Lytechinus pictus: one gene and its partner. The protein of the gene in region 1 purifies or fractionates together with the protein of each later gene. This does not show direct contact. Links are inferred from orthologs where the notes say so. Each region holds a gene or a part of one and is shown on either strand. Other genes may lie near its edges.

Region 1 (7,219 bases):
AGATTGCGTGTTGCATATCACGTACGCATCAGGCTACATTTAAGTGTGACTCTCATACTTAAATCTTTGTGAAACACCCCCCTGGACATGTATCACAAAGTTTTAAATCTGAATAAAAGTCATGCCTAAGTTGCCAAATTGCACATGATAGTAAATCTGTAATGATATTTGATCAATATGCGATTGCACCCATCCCCTCAGCATGATATGACTGAGACTGCGGCAGTAATATGTTATAAGACACTCAACTGGAATTTAAATGTGATTTCGTAATAAGACTTGAATCATTTTGATAAATTGCCCTAGGGCAGTTAAGAATTTGTATTGATATATGAAAATCATGTGTATTCATAAGTTACATGAAAGGTAACTACTGTGCAAACAAAGTAAATATGGTGTCCAATACATAGTATTTGAACAATCCTTTATTAATTTGAAAGTTACAATCAGACCATTATGTTTAGTTGGTCATGACATCAAGTTCTAGCAGTTAGTACATTACACTGTAATCATATTTTGGCTTTTATCAGACAATGGAGTGCTTTGTCAATTCACCTACATTTTAGGATTAAATCTACTCTTGTTATGTGTATATCTCAGTAAGATGGGAGTTAGGGAGGGAGCACAATGTTTTGTGGATCCTCTTTCCCTATATCTAGTCCCACCTGATGAAAAAAGTGTAGCCACCTTCCTTTAAAAGAAAAAAAAAATACTCATGAGGACATAATCAGGATTTGTTTTGGATGTATGTCTCTAGATGTAATTAACAATTTGAAATGTTGACTTCTAGATTTTTTTTATACAACATCATTATTCAAAATTAATCAATTATCCAAGGTCAGAAATTACTTTTTGATATTCACTGTCCAACAATAAGGTCTTGTGTGCTGATAAATGTATCTGAAGATGAAGTGAACTCTGGTTCTAGTCTTCTACCTTATTCTAAACGAACACTGTGTATACAAAACACAATCTTCTTAGTGATATCAAGCATTATCTTTTGGCAAACAATCTACCAAAACTGGAATGGAATGGAAGATCGATTATATTTTTTGAATATGTCATTGTAACAGAAGATTCTAATTGGGCAATTAAATCTTAGTGGTAAGAAGACAAACATACAAAATCACTTTGGCTGTAACCTATTTCCCAAAAAGTCCTCTCACTGGTCACTTCTTGACAGTTACAATATCTCTGAATGTCATATTAACTCTGGTATTCAAAGCTTTCTTCCTGACAGGCAGCGAATGGTACCAGTAAACATTAGTAGGATAATTCATCATGAGTAAACTCCCATGTTCTAGCTCCACTTTGACTGGTGGTATCTTTCGTTTGGCCTGAGATCCTCGGGCCTCACAGTGCCTGAAGATGAAGTCACGGTTCTGTCCAAGAGACAGGGACGCTATAGGACTAGTTGAAACCAAGTCTTTCTCGTCATCCCGATGTTCACCCATGTAGTTATTTCCATCGGCATACCTAGATGTAGACAATATGACAGAAATTAGTGTCTTGGTCAAATGTTTGAGATATTTTTAAACTAATTTTTCATATATAAATGATGTATTACAATCTGCCTACCAAGTCAACTATTCCTGTTAAATGGTAGATGAAATGATAGAAAATAAAAATGGCTACATACCATATAAAAGTGGGAGAGAAGACAGAGAGGGGAGAGGGTGTGACTTTAGTACACTGAACAATGTTAATAATAAGACAAAATAAAGAGATAGAAGTAGGGAGAGACATACACAGGGAGAGAGAGAAAAATACAATTATAATTAAGAATTGAATCAAACCTTACCTGTTGATGAGAACAAAGTTAAATTTGAACCCTGTAACCTCTTGAATCCTATCCCTAATTTCTAATAACAGTGGTATCCATGGTTTAGCTGGAACAGTCACTCCAGAATATTTGTATGTTACACCTGCATCACCATGTGCTACCTGCACAGATTCAGAATAAAAGCGAATATTCTGAATTGATCAACTTAATTTTTAATAATTAGCACCCAAAGCAAAGCTTTCAAGTAGATTATGGAGAAACAAACTCTTGTCAGGGGACAATGACTGAGTCTTTCTAAGTAAAAGAACACCCACAAAAACTGAACTTCTTATTTTACTTTTTAATAGGCAGTCATCACTGTATGACAATATGTTCCACTACAGGCACTACTGCTGCTTTGGTTTTAAATGAATAATGCTAAAACATGCCTCCTAATTTGTGTAATGTAAAAGGCTACAATGCATACCAGATCATTGCATGTGAGGGGTGAGGGGGGAAAAAGATGTTCTAAGTTGAGAACACATTAACATCTTTGGAATGTAAGAATATATCACCACATGGAAAAAAAATCATTGTATCAGAAAATGAGCAGGCAACATAGAAAAACAAGATAATTATAGGGTTAGAAAATGATTGATAAATAGGACAAAACTGAACATCACTCTTTTCCATTGATACTGTAATATAAATTTAATGAAAACTTTTTATATCATTTTTGAAATTGAATTGATCACAGGTTCACAACTTGTTCAAACATTTTCTTGTATATTGATAATTGGTTTATAACAGAATGCAAACTAGACGTTCAGCTATTTAAAAGGTATTAAAGTCATATGATAAAGGCTAACTTTTAAAACTTACCTGTTTTCTTGGAATATCATGCCACTTTCCATAAACTTTAATCCTTGCAAGATCACCCGTAAAATAATCTAGAGACTCCTCGCAACGTTGGAACAGAATATCTGCCTCTTTCTTTGAATACAGATGCAAGTAATCACAGTCAAGATTCTCTCGGGATATTTTTTTCTTTTGTGGGATATGCTGGAGCATCCTAAGATCTATTTCTGAAGATTCAGTCTTGCTATCAATTCTCAACCGTTTAGATGTAGGTTCGTTCTTTTCATCCTTTTCTCCATCATGATCATGTTGGCTACCTGAAGCCAATCCTATCTCTGCAGGTTTCTTGACTTTCTTTTTTCTGGTGATATACTTATCCATAATTTATAATCTGAGCTGTGTCAATTCAACTCAGCATATTGCCAGCCTCTTGTTTCCTGTGGGAGGGAAAAAAGAAATTAGATCTCTGCCTGTCATATTCTATATTGGACATCTTGAGTAAGCAAAGAGGGTAGGCAACTTGGGGTATTATAATTATATGCATGATGGAAACTGTCACAATGCAAAGAACTGATCTGTGTAGATGCAGAGCAGAAATATTAAACCATGCTAAGTAATATTTTGATCTGATAGCCTACAAGTACAACTCGAACTTTATATCTAGACCAATATTTTCTGCTTCTGTTTATATTCGTTCCAATCCAAATCTAATGTTGGACTGACTTGTCCCGGGTTGGAGTGATATCACCATTGAAATGAATGAAATATAGACAGGACAGCTCGACAGCAGGATGTTGTACTATAATGTAGTCTTTTTAAGACTTAAGTCATGTAAGTTAAGTCTGGGCCCTGAGGGGTAGCCGAGCAAAGTTAATTATTTGAGAGTACAATCCAAATAGTCTATCTTTCTTCTCAAATTCTCAAACAGTGTGCATATATCTCTAGTCTAATGAAGCTCGCTCCTCAAAATTCTCAGTGACTAAACCATAAGCTGTTTCCACTTTCCAGTTCCACTCACTTCCATATTGGAGCATAACAACTATTATGCAATAAACATTGTTTTCTGAATATACTAACGAAATATTTCGGCAAGAAAGATTTAGATATATTTACGAGTGAGCACATCATTATTTTATTTAAATAAAAATATTTGATTCAAAACACATAATGAAAAAATCATTTTTAATGCATAATATTAAAACAAATTATTTAAGGAGAAAATAATTCGAACCATATGATAATTTCAAAACTATTGATTTTTTTTTAAATATTGCCTTGCAAGATTGGCAAAACGATTCACTCCTGCGCGAATTAAATAGTGCCGATATCTTCATTGTTTATGTTGACTGAGCTTCCACGTAGTCGAACGGTGACGATTTTGATATTCAATTTTTCTAATTTTCAGCCAAATTGAACTGCAAGTATTTACTGTACGTATTATCCTTGGATTGAGTAAGAGGAAAATGCGAAACATGTCTCAAGGAAATCAATGGGAAGGTGAGAAATTAAACATGTACGACTCGGATACGATAACAAGTCGAAGTGAGTCGACGAACGAAGGTGGTGCTGCCCGTGTTGGTGTGTAACAGTTGAGTCTTGAGATAGTCATGTCATGACAGTGGTGTGTGACGGAGGCTCCGCTAGCGCTGCCGTCGTGGCGCGTGCGTGGCCGGCCGTAGCCAGGCGGCTTCTTGAGAGTAAAAATCATTTACTAACGTAGGCTTACTCTAAATGAAGCCAGGGAGTCCTCCCTATTCACCTACACGAAGGACCCCAAATTTTGCCCAAAACCTGAAACTTTCACCCCCGAGATTTCTACTTTCCTTAACTAAAATATCTAGCTCTAAATCATGTTGTTGGGATAAAACTTCATTTCCGACATTTCTACGCTCTCGTTGTTATTTTTAAACAAGAATTCATTAAAAAAATGAGAAAAACATTGTGAAAAAACGGAAGAGACTTGCCCGATGTTTACGCCGCCATCTTGTTTCTTATTGTACTTCCCCAACGTTACGGACGCGAGCGTCGCGTTTTTTTTTTTTTTTTTTTTTTTTTACAAAATATTCACAAGTAAAGTATACAAAACCAATTCAACGAAATAGTTACCACATTGACGGGTGACGGCAAGATTGTAAATTATGATATAAAATCATTGACGAAAATGTGAAGTAGTTCATGGAGTTTCGCCGGTATCGCGATCCAAAAATTCTATTCCGATCGATGAATGCAAGCTGTGCTGGGAAACCGTTCTGAAAAAAGTATGACCTCACTTAGCGGACCAAAGTTTTTGTGGAGATTCAAACAAAAAATCAAGCTCAAAAAGGTAGAATTTTATATCAGATTGACGACAAAATGCTAAAAGAATCAGTGAGTTCCACATTGATTGAACTCACATTTTTATGATATCTGCTTGCAAAATGATATCATGAATTCATGATGCTTGTTGAGGATATCAGATTTCTTCGGAACGGGCGCTAACGGTGACAAATTTCCCAATCTTTTCATGAATACTCAACTTATCCTAACAAAACTTACGCCAAAGGGTAATTTTAGGTCGCTTTTTATGTTGATGATGTCAGATTTTAAGGATATCGGCTAGTCTTTGAGATAATGACCTTCCGCGAAGTATGGCCATACTATCATCCCCCGGGGGGCCAGTCAAATATATTACTGTACACACGCGTGACCAAAAAACGCGTTAAAGGAGAATGAAACCCAAAATTGAATACCACATAATATCATTGATAAGTACATGCCAATCAAAATGAATCCACTTATACCCCAATCTGATTTCCCAGTATCGAGTACCACCTCTTCAAAGTTGGGCTTCTTCAGGTTCGAAGTCTCTGAATGGAGATCGCCATTGTTGTGGGGTTTGTTCAAAATTGTGACGTCAGCGACGTACAACTGCTCTCGGTAGTATCGGTACTTCCATGTGCATAACGCATAGCTAGCTATACAGGCTGAAACTGCCCCCAAGTTTGCATAATATAGATACTTTTTTTACCAGAAATAAATAAAATATACACATAAAACACTTAGAAATAATATTAAAAAGCTATTTAAATTATTTTATGGATTAAAAACACAAATTGATGAGTTTTGATGAAAATTTTTACAAATTTATTCACGATATCCAAATTGGCAAATTTGACAAAGCTAAATTTGTACGTACTGTCCGGACCGTCATGTACCCTGAACCGAGTGATCGTGTTATGTTGGAAGTTTGGTTATTTATCCCGTTTGAATATCGGGAAATTGTTGTGTTATATTTCTATATATCTAACGTTGTTTATTATTTGTTACCGTCGATTTTAAATAAAACAAAACATATCGCGGACGTTTGTATTGAAAAGGATGGCCGAGAGCCTACGACTTCGAGCCACAAATAGATCTACTCGGCCGAAGAAATCGCTCAACGAGCAGAGCTAACTTAGAGGTATTATAGAGTAGAGCCTAGAGGCACGTTGGCGCACGGTCAGCAGCAGCCACCCAATTTTTATTTAGGGAGATTTCTGGCCTCAGCTTCTGCGGATCGTGAATTAGGTAAAAGCTAGATGCATTTTGTCCCCTTTTCTGACCGATTTCAGCAGCCATACGCTTGGCAGTATACCATCCTGATCAGCATTGTTTTACGCCAGCAATCACAGGCGCTCGCCGGGGTTGGACACTGAGGTGTACGTCGCTGACGTCACAACCCCCCACGGAGATATGGGGAGTATGAGCAAAATGGCGACCTCCACGGGTCTTTCGAATATCAAAATATTGATAACTTTGAGTTGGCATATCATGGGAAATAGGAAACCGTTCTGCCTCATTTTAATTTTATTTTAATTAGTGAAGTGTAATTGGCTTATGACCAGATAATAAATCTATCCTTTCATTTTCCTTTTAATAAGGGTATCGAATACACCAATTTTCAAGAAAAAGGGTTGTTTGAAAGACTGGTCAATGGTAAATCACGGGTTCAAACGTATTTAGGGTATACATGTTTTTTTCCCCAAAGCTTTTTCCCCGAGGTCATATTTTGGCGACAACTTGTTTAGGGGCCAAAAATGTGTAAATAAAGCTCGCGAAAAACTTGTTTAGGGGGTTATTTTGCACACAGAGAAAAACTCGTTTAGGGGGTGTTTGAAAATTCCTTGGTCACGCGTGTGTACAGCAATATATTTGACTGGCCCCCCTGGTATCATCCCCATTCACCGACGGTAACGGTAGTCCGTTAGTGCAAGCCTCCATGTACGTTAATCATCATGATCATGTCGCCCAATTCGGGCCTACTAGATCTAGAATCTAGTGTTAGGTCTAGATTTTTTTTTTTTAGGTCTAGATCTAAATGACATATCTTGAACGATGGCCCACTATTTTCGTTAGACTCTAATCTTTCTTTATACTGCGCATATTCCAAGAAAATGTAAGTAGGTCAACCTTTTTGTAATTTCTGACATTCCAGAAATCTCAATTGTTCGAACTATTCGATTGTTTACTCTGGTGAACGATCAAATGGCAAAAGGGTATTCGTCCCTTACTCCTATTTTCTTCTTACAACCCTTAAAGCTTCTCTGTAAAATGAAGAAAAGATGTATCCTTGCCTCGATC
Region 2 (7,665 bases), about 6.7 Mb from region 1:
ATTTCATATTGATTTAAATTTTATTATTTAATTTAATTATTAGATAAGGAAATTTGAATTTTATTTCTGTAGTTAATCAATGACCTGCTGTCAGATATGTCTTACAAAAACCACTGAAAGTACATTTCGTCAGTGATTTTACGAACTGGCGCAAACCTAATTTCGGCCAAATTTTTGAAATTTATTTTTTTGCATATTCTGAAAGCCTGTGATTTAATCTATTGATTTGCCAAATTTCAGATAAAAATTTGTATTATTTAAAAAAAAGGGCATATTTAATATTTGTACGTACCGGCTCAACCTCCTTTGATTTTATGAACTTGCTCAAACCATTCTTTGTGTACTATAAAGTCTCTGGAATGGTGCGCACAGGTCAAAGACCGACCTAGATGCGGCGCTTATGCCGGTGCGTATGTGCTTTGCGCAGGGTTTGTGCCTCTAAAAAAAACATACGCATGGCATGAATGATTTTACAAGCTGGCTCAAACCGTGGTTTGTGCCGCTAAACAGCAGTGGGCATGGTGCGCGTTATTTTACGAACTGGCTCAAACCCCCTGTTTTGGGTAAGAATTAGCAGCTCCTGAAATGCATACAAGCGCTTCCTTTTTAAATATTGAAAGAATAAATAAGAATTGCAAACAAAATTTTGTATATTACAAAAGAATAGACTGTATGCTTTAAATTGTTATAAATAATTGATCTGGTTTCTTTCAAAGCGCAAAGTTATGAGCTTCTGAAAAACATCGAAACTTTGAATGCAATTATCTGGAAATCATGTTTTGGAGACCAGCTGAGGTTTGAGCCAGTTTGTAAAATCACTGACGAATTTTCCATAGAAACTTTAATTGGTTTTTCTAGTTCTAGAATTAAGATCAATGTCACATTTCACAATATGCAAGGAGACGGGGAGTTGTGCTCCCTCTTTCTAGACACACTTGAATGTCCTTCTAGTAAAAAAGTGTTATGATGATTATGATAATGATGATGATGGTGGTGGTGGTGATGATGATGATGATGATGGTGTTGGTGGTTATAGTGATGGTGATGATGATGATGACAAACTACTTTTAAGTTAAAGCATATATACATATGAAAATCATAGAATTTACTTTTTATGCACGTTTACAGGGGAGGGGAGGGGACTAGGTGCTATTATAATTACAAGATATATATGCATTTTAAAAAAGTACCATAAATAATCTTACTTTGATTTTCAAAGTACCCAAATCATGTATTTTGTCATGCTTTCGTTAGCCTAAATAATGTCTAAAATATATGTTTTCATGTTAGGATGAAATATATACCCTTTCTATGCACCATACACACAAGGCTTTTTAAAGTATACATTTTATTCCTGATTTGGTTATGATACATTTCAAAGTACATCGCCCCACGGTGATAAACAACTCTCAGTATTTGTATGCTACTGTGGATGAGCATTGTGTCTACTGTGCACTATAATGGAATTGCCTGTATTGAATAACTAATGATAACTTATGAATATAACATTAGATACTTGAAAATTATTGATTCCAGTGTGTGAAAATGAAAGAATAAAATAAATGTAGGTATATGTATAATAATAATACTGTTTTACATGACTTTTTGTTGAGACTACAGTCATCTTGGTTGGCATGTTTTAATTCAACATTTATAAGTGTCATTCAGATGGTATTTAATTAGTTTTTTTAATGAAAAAAAAATTAAGGAAAAAATCTAGCCCGAAATCAATCCAACATGAATGAAAGTGAGTGATGGGTAATTTTACAATCAAGGTAACCCAACTGTCGCATTTGATTTTCTTTTGTGCATGTGTGTGTTATAAACAAGTGAAATGATATTTCTTTGAAATTTTGAGGCATATTATTTCTATAAAGATTCAGTCATGTAATTTCATGTGCTGACATTTGCTTTTTTTTTTTTTTTGAGAAGTAAGTGGATGTGGGCAACATTCTAAGTTTGTTGTATAAACAGCCAAACCTGCATTAGTGGCCACCTGTCTATAGCAGCCACCTGCCTGATGACTAGAGTGTCCACTAAAGCCAGTTCCCATAGAGGCAGATTGTGGGTGTAAGAACCCGTCTATAGCAATCCCCTGCTTATTCCCTTGAAGGCATATTGTGTGTATAAGAACCTATCTATAGCAACCCCTGCTTATAGTGACCACTAAAACTGATTCCCTTAGAGACAATTGTGTGTATAAGAACCTGTCTACAGCAACCCGTGCTTATAGTGACCACTAAAACTGATTCCCTTGGAGGCAGATTGTGTATGTAAGAATCTCTCTCTAGCAACCCCCTGCTTATTCCCTTGAAGGCAGATTGTGTGTATAAGAACCTGTCTATAGCAACCCCCTGCTTATAGTGACCACTAAAACTGATTCGAAGGCAATTGTGTGTATAAGAACCTGTCTATTGCAACCCCTGCTTATTACCTTGAAAGCAATTGTATAAGAACCTGTCTATAGCAACCCCCTGCTTATTACCTTGAAAGCAATTGTGTGTATAAGAAACTGTCTATAGCAACCCCCTGCCTATAGTGACCACTAAAACTGATTCCCTTTAGGCAGATTGTGTTTATTATAAGAACCTCTCTATAGCAACCCCCTGCTTATTCCCTTGAAGGCAGATTGTGTTTATGAGAACCTGTTATCTGTCTATAGCAACCTCCTGTCCATAAAGGCCACATTTTGTGTTTCCCTTGGGTGTCACTATGACAGGTTTCACTGCATAGACAAAAGCATTCGTAATTGATTCATGACTATGTGTAAAAATATCTAATTCAGAGCTAGAAAACATTTTTGGATAGAATTTGCACCCCATTTTTGGTTAATAGTCACCAAAAAATTTCAACATCTTTGGGGGAATTTCATTTTTCATTTTTGAATAAGGTTTGATTGGCAAAACAATGCCTGATTATTTCTAAAAATAGAATGTGCAGGCTCGAAATAAGGGAAAATTAAACTAAATGAGAGTAATTTTGGCCCTAAAATGCCTGCTAAAGGTAATATATAGAAAAGTAAACTTGTATTTCAATCATTTTCTTTGCAGGTTGCTCTGTAAAATAATATTTAAATTGTGAAGCAAAAGGTCACACAATTATTTCTCTAGTTATAGGAGATAAATCTTTTAATTACATATTCCATCGATTCATTTTTTGGAGAGGACGCTTTGGACAGAAATGGATTTGGCAACATAGGAACATGAACTACATGGCGCGATAGCTCAGTCGGTAGAGCGGGGGTTTCGAATTTTGGTGACCCGGGTTCGATTCCCAAGTGGTGCGCTAGTGCCCTTTGGTAAGGCATTTATCCTCATTACCAAGTCCCTCGGAGAGGACCTTAAGCCATTGGTCCCCTGGTTGCTTGCTCACAGGCATTCATGCTTTCTTAGCAGTCAGGTAAAAAACCTCGGTATAACTAAAATAAGTGGATGCGTGTGGGCAAAGTGGACACTTTAAAGGGGAAGTTCACCCTGACAAAAATTTTATTGTAAAAATAACACAAAGCACAACAGAAAATATTGTTGGAGGTTTGAGGAAAATCCATCAGAGATTTAGAGATGAATACCAGTTGTGGTAACGATCTCAAAATCAGTTCGAACAGAATCCAATAAAATTATCACCAAAGTGTTTGTATGTAGGTCCTATAATGAAAAAAGATGTTCCAAATATCTCTGGAAGAAAATGCGTAATTGCTGACAGAAGCGGATCTAGAGGGGGGGTTGGGGGGGTTGCAACCCCCCCAAAAAAAAAAAAATCCGGGGACCATTTTTTTAAATCTTATCTTTTTTTTTAAACTTGTAATTTTAGAAAACGCCATTTTCACACACAGATTTTCAAAAATTTTCCCTACTGTGGGAGGGGGGACACCCCCCTCCCACACCCTCCCCCCTCGCTCGCTCCGCTCGCTTGGACTCGGTCGCTACGCTCCCTCGCATACCACCCCAACCCCCCCTTTATAAAAAGCTGGATCCGCCCCTGGCTGAGAAATGAGCAAAATAAGCATGGAATTTCATAAAATGTCAGTTATTTTTCCAAGCAATATTAATACACTGTTATGGCTTGATGGTAAAAATTATCGGTTTTCAGCTAAAACTTCATGATTTCACAAAGATAAGTTATATCAATGTACCAGATCTCGATGTATGATAAGGTAATATTTTAACAATTAACCTTCAGACTTTTTCATTAAATAATTGTTTGCTTCAACTACTTTCTTTTACCCTTAAATTCTATGAGCATTTTAATTTTTTATTTTTGACATCACATGTGAGCATCTTCACATGTATCAAGAATTATGAAAAGTCAGTCGAATGTCACTTTCTCAAAGAAAAATTAAAAAGGGTTTTTAACAGGGACGTCCCCTTTTTTCAGTTACAAGTGTTAGCTTTGTAGACAAAACATTATTAATTAATTTCTAACTAGATCGAACTGTTATACATAAAAATACAGAATTAGGAGAGGACATTTTCAAACACCCAATTTTCGGTTAATAATAGTATCAGAAACAATCAAATTATCTGCATAATTGAATCAACAAATGGATTGCTGGTGAGGAGAGAGGGAAAAAATAGGAATTCTTGTCTACTATGTTCAAGTTTTTTTCCCCGATTATGTATAACTTTGCTATAGTACGGTATTACTGGTAATAAATAATCGGCTACGTTCAATTATTTCTGCTACGTGTTATTCAATTTGGTTGGCGAAAATAAAAGGGAATTTCGTATTTTGATTGCAGCCAGGAGGCGGATGTTTGTAAGTAGAACTATACAATCGGTATAATATTGTAGCTCTTGACTAATATTATAGATTGATGTGTTGGCTGACACTTGACAGTGAGGTTTTAAGTTTTGTAGAGCTTTGTTTGAGCCGTGGACACTTGAGTCGGAGACTGAGCTGATGCGCAGTGACTGATCTGTCCTGGCTGTGTCTGATGTGGCAATGCGCCACAACTGAGCCGTGGCGCGGCGGCAGCGCAGTGGGCGCTGGCCGGCGGGCACCTCAGGCGATGGTTCGTGTGTATGTAGACAGCTGGCAGACGTCTGTTTCGAGGAGTCTTTTAAACATTTTTAAAAATTTCTCATAATGAGTCATATGCAGACGGCTCGGATCATGCAGGTTAACAATGCAAAATCCCCCCGATCAATGTGCTCATCGATTTTTTACTTGGGCCCTAGTTATATTTTGTCTTTATTTCATTAAAAAATATAAGAAATAAGAAGAATTCAACTGGACCAAAATAAAGATTATTTTTCTGTTTTGGCCTGAAATGCACCAAAACGGGAAAAAAATAAACTTAAAAGGACAAAAACAGTGATTTACTTCGGCTGTCGCGCAACTCCCACTTTCTTGGTTTGTCCGAACTTAATATGGCCAGAGTTCCTGTAACGTTGCAGATCAAGTTAGAAGTAGCCTAGGTATATAGAACTTCTGTCTCTGTCAGGGTGACCAGATTTCACAAAATGAAATACGGGACAATCGACAAAGCACGCTGCACGAGCGGGTGGACCGAGCCAGGTCTTAAAGGACAAGTCCACCCCAACAAAAAGTTGATTTTAATAAAAAGAGAAAAATCCAACAAGCATAACACTGAAAATTTCTTCAAAATCAGATTTAACATAAGAAAGTTATGACATTTTAAAGTTTCGCTTAATTTCACAAAACAGTTATACATGTATGCACATCCTGGTCGGAATGCAAATGAGGAGACTGATGACGTCATCTACTCACTATTTCTTTTGTATTTTATTATTTGAAATATGAAATATTCTAATTTTCCCCTCATTGTCAAGTGAAACAACGATTAATTCCTCCCTGAACATGTGGAATTAGCATTGTTTAATGGTTCAGTCAAGTTGGCCCTTATTGTGAAATCTGTAAAATATGAAATATTGTATAATTCAAACAATAAAAACAAAATAAAAAGTGAGTGATTGACATCATCGACCGACTCATCTGCATGTCACTGAGTTGTGCATATCAATTATCACTGTTCTGTGAAAAATAAAGGAAACTTTAAAATTCCATAACTTTCTTATTCTACATCCGATTTTGATGAAATTTTCAGCATTATGCTAGTTTGATTTTTCTCTATTTATTCAAATCAACATTTTTCTGGGGTGGACTTGACCTTTAACAGGGCGCGACAAAACCGCTTGCCTGGGGGAAGTGAAAATGACCTGCGGGCAAGCATTTATCAAAGTCAATTGCCCGATCGGGCAAGTGGTTGTTTTGAAAATGAAAACGATATTACAGTAAATTTTAATAATTTTTCGATAAATTGCAATTATCGGCCAATTATCTCTCATAGTCATACAAAATGTCATACCAGTAAAAAAACAGTGGGAACATGTCAAATCAGCGCCAATTTACCGAAAATTTATCGCCAGCGGTCCTGTTCGATGGGGGCTGCCATCTTTATTTCTAAACTATACTGTGCGCATGCGCTACTAATTGACGAAGGAGCTAGCTGGGGAAACCCCTCTCTCGCCCTCTTAGCGCATGCTCTAATACATCGGCGCTACAGTACATGTACGTACGTACACGAGCGATCGCGAGCCAGCCGACTCTCGAGCTAGATCGCGCTGAATGCATGCAAGCTTCGGACTGACTCGGCCAGGACTCGGCATCAACTTCAAACCAAATAAACAATGAGTCGTCAGACTAAAATAGGTGACTTTTGTTGTCGCGATCGGCGACCAGAACAACTTGAACAAGAGTCAAGAAAAAGAAATGCCGAGGCCAGCGCCAGTAAATCAAGTTCAACCAGGACAGAAAAGAATAATTAAGAGCTAAAGAATTTTTGAAAAATATCGGGCAAGCAGTTTTTTCTATCGGGCAAGCAAATTTTTTATCACTTGCCCGACATGGGCAAGTGATGAAATTCTTTTTTGTAGAGGCCTGCTTTGTTAAAAAAAAGATGAACAAAGAAGGCTACACAGTGTTAGACTTCACTTGTGAAAAAAATATAAAGAATTGGAAGGGAGGGTGAACAAAAGAATGAAGGGGAGAAAGAAAAGACGAAAGAAAAGAGATGAATTGAGAAGAAAAACAAAATGAAGGGGGAAATGGAGAAAATTTAAAAGAAAGGTTAGAATAAAAGAAGAATGGAAGAAAGAATAAAAGAGAGAAAAAAGGTTTCCATCATTCTTTGAAATGAATATAGATAGAAAGAAAAAGAAAAAGAAATGAAGGAAAGATGAATAAATGTGTGAAAGAAAAAGTAAAGGAGAGAAAGGAAAAAAAAAGTAAGAAAAAAGGAGGAGGAAAGAAAGAATGAAAGAAATAAAACGGTTTCCTTCATTCTTTGAAAGAAAAAAAGAAAGAAGAAAAACAGGAATGGAGGAAGGAAGAAAGGAAGAAAGGAAGGGAAAGAAAGAATAATGGAAAAGAATTAGAAGGAAAAATAAAATAAAGAATGAAAGAAAGGATGAAAAAGAGGGAGAATAGTATGAAAAAAGAAAATAATGGAAGGAGAGAAAGAAGGAAAAGAAAAAGGAGAGGAAGGGAGAAGGATTTTTTTTTTTTTTTTTTTATATATTTCAAATAAAAAAAGTAAAATGTTTTAGAAATGAATAAAATTTCAAAGTGAAACATTGTCAAACTTAAAAAATAGATGAAACATCGCGGCCATACACAGGCATCACTCCCATCCCATTACAAGGT

Evidence for each region. Proteins that work in one complex are often made in the same cells at the same time.
Region 2: the proteins of Golgi SNAP receptor complex member 1-like (region 1) and BET1 homolog purify together in Homo sapiens (affinity purification with mass spectrometry; 3 studies listed by BioGRID and IntAct, with this or other methods). This does not show direct contact. The link is inferred for Lytechinus pictus from reciprocal best matches to the Homo sapiens genes GOSR1 and BET1.

The regions. Positions count from the first base shown.
Region 1 is NC_087246.1:8,978,989-8,986,207, reverse strand, and holds the start of Golgi SNAP receptor complex member 1-like, read left to right. Parts: upstream 1-4,217; 5' UTR 4,218-4,232; coding exon 4,233-4,317; intron 4,318-7,219. Other genes in the region: DNA oxidative demethylase ALKBH2-like, read right to left, coding at 1,170-1,476, 1,802-1,944, 2,645-3,001. UniProt on the Homo sapiens protein: Involved in transport from the ER to the Golgi apparatus as well as in intra-Golgi transport. It belongs to a super-family of proteins called t-SNAREs or soluble NSF (N-ethylmaleimide-sensitive factor) attachment protein receptor.
Region 2 is NC_087246.1:2,291,956-2,299,620, reverse strand, and holds the start of BET1 homolog, read left to right. Parts: upstream 1-4,654; 5' UTR 4,655-4,755; intron 4,756-7,665. UniProt on the Homo sapiens protein: Required for vesicular transport from the ER to the Golgi complex. Functions as a SNARE involved in the docking process of ER-derived vesicles with the cis-Golgi membrane.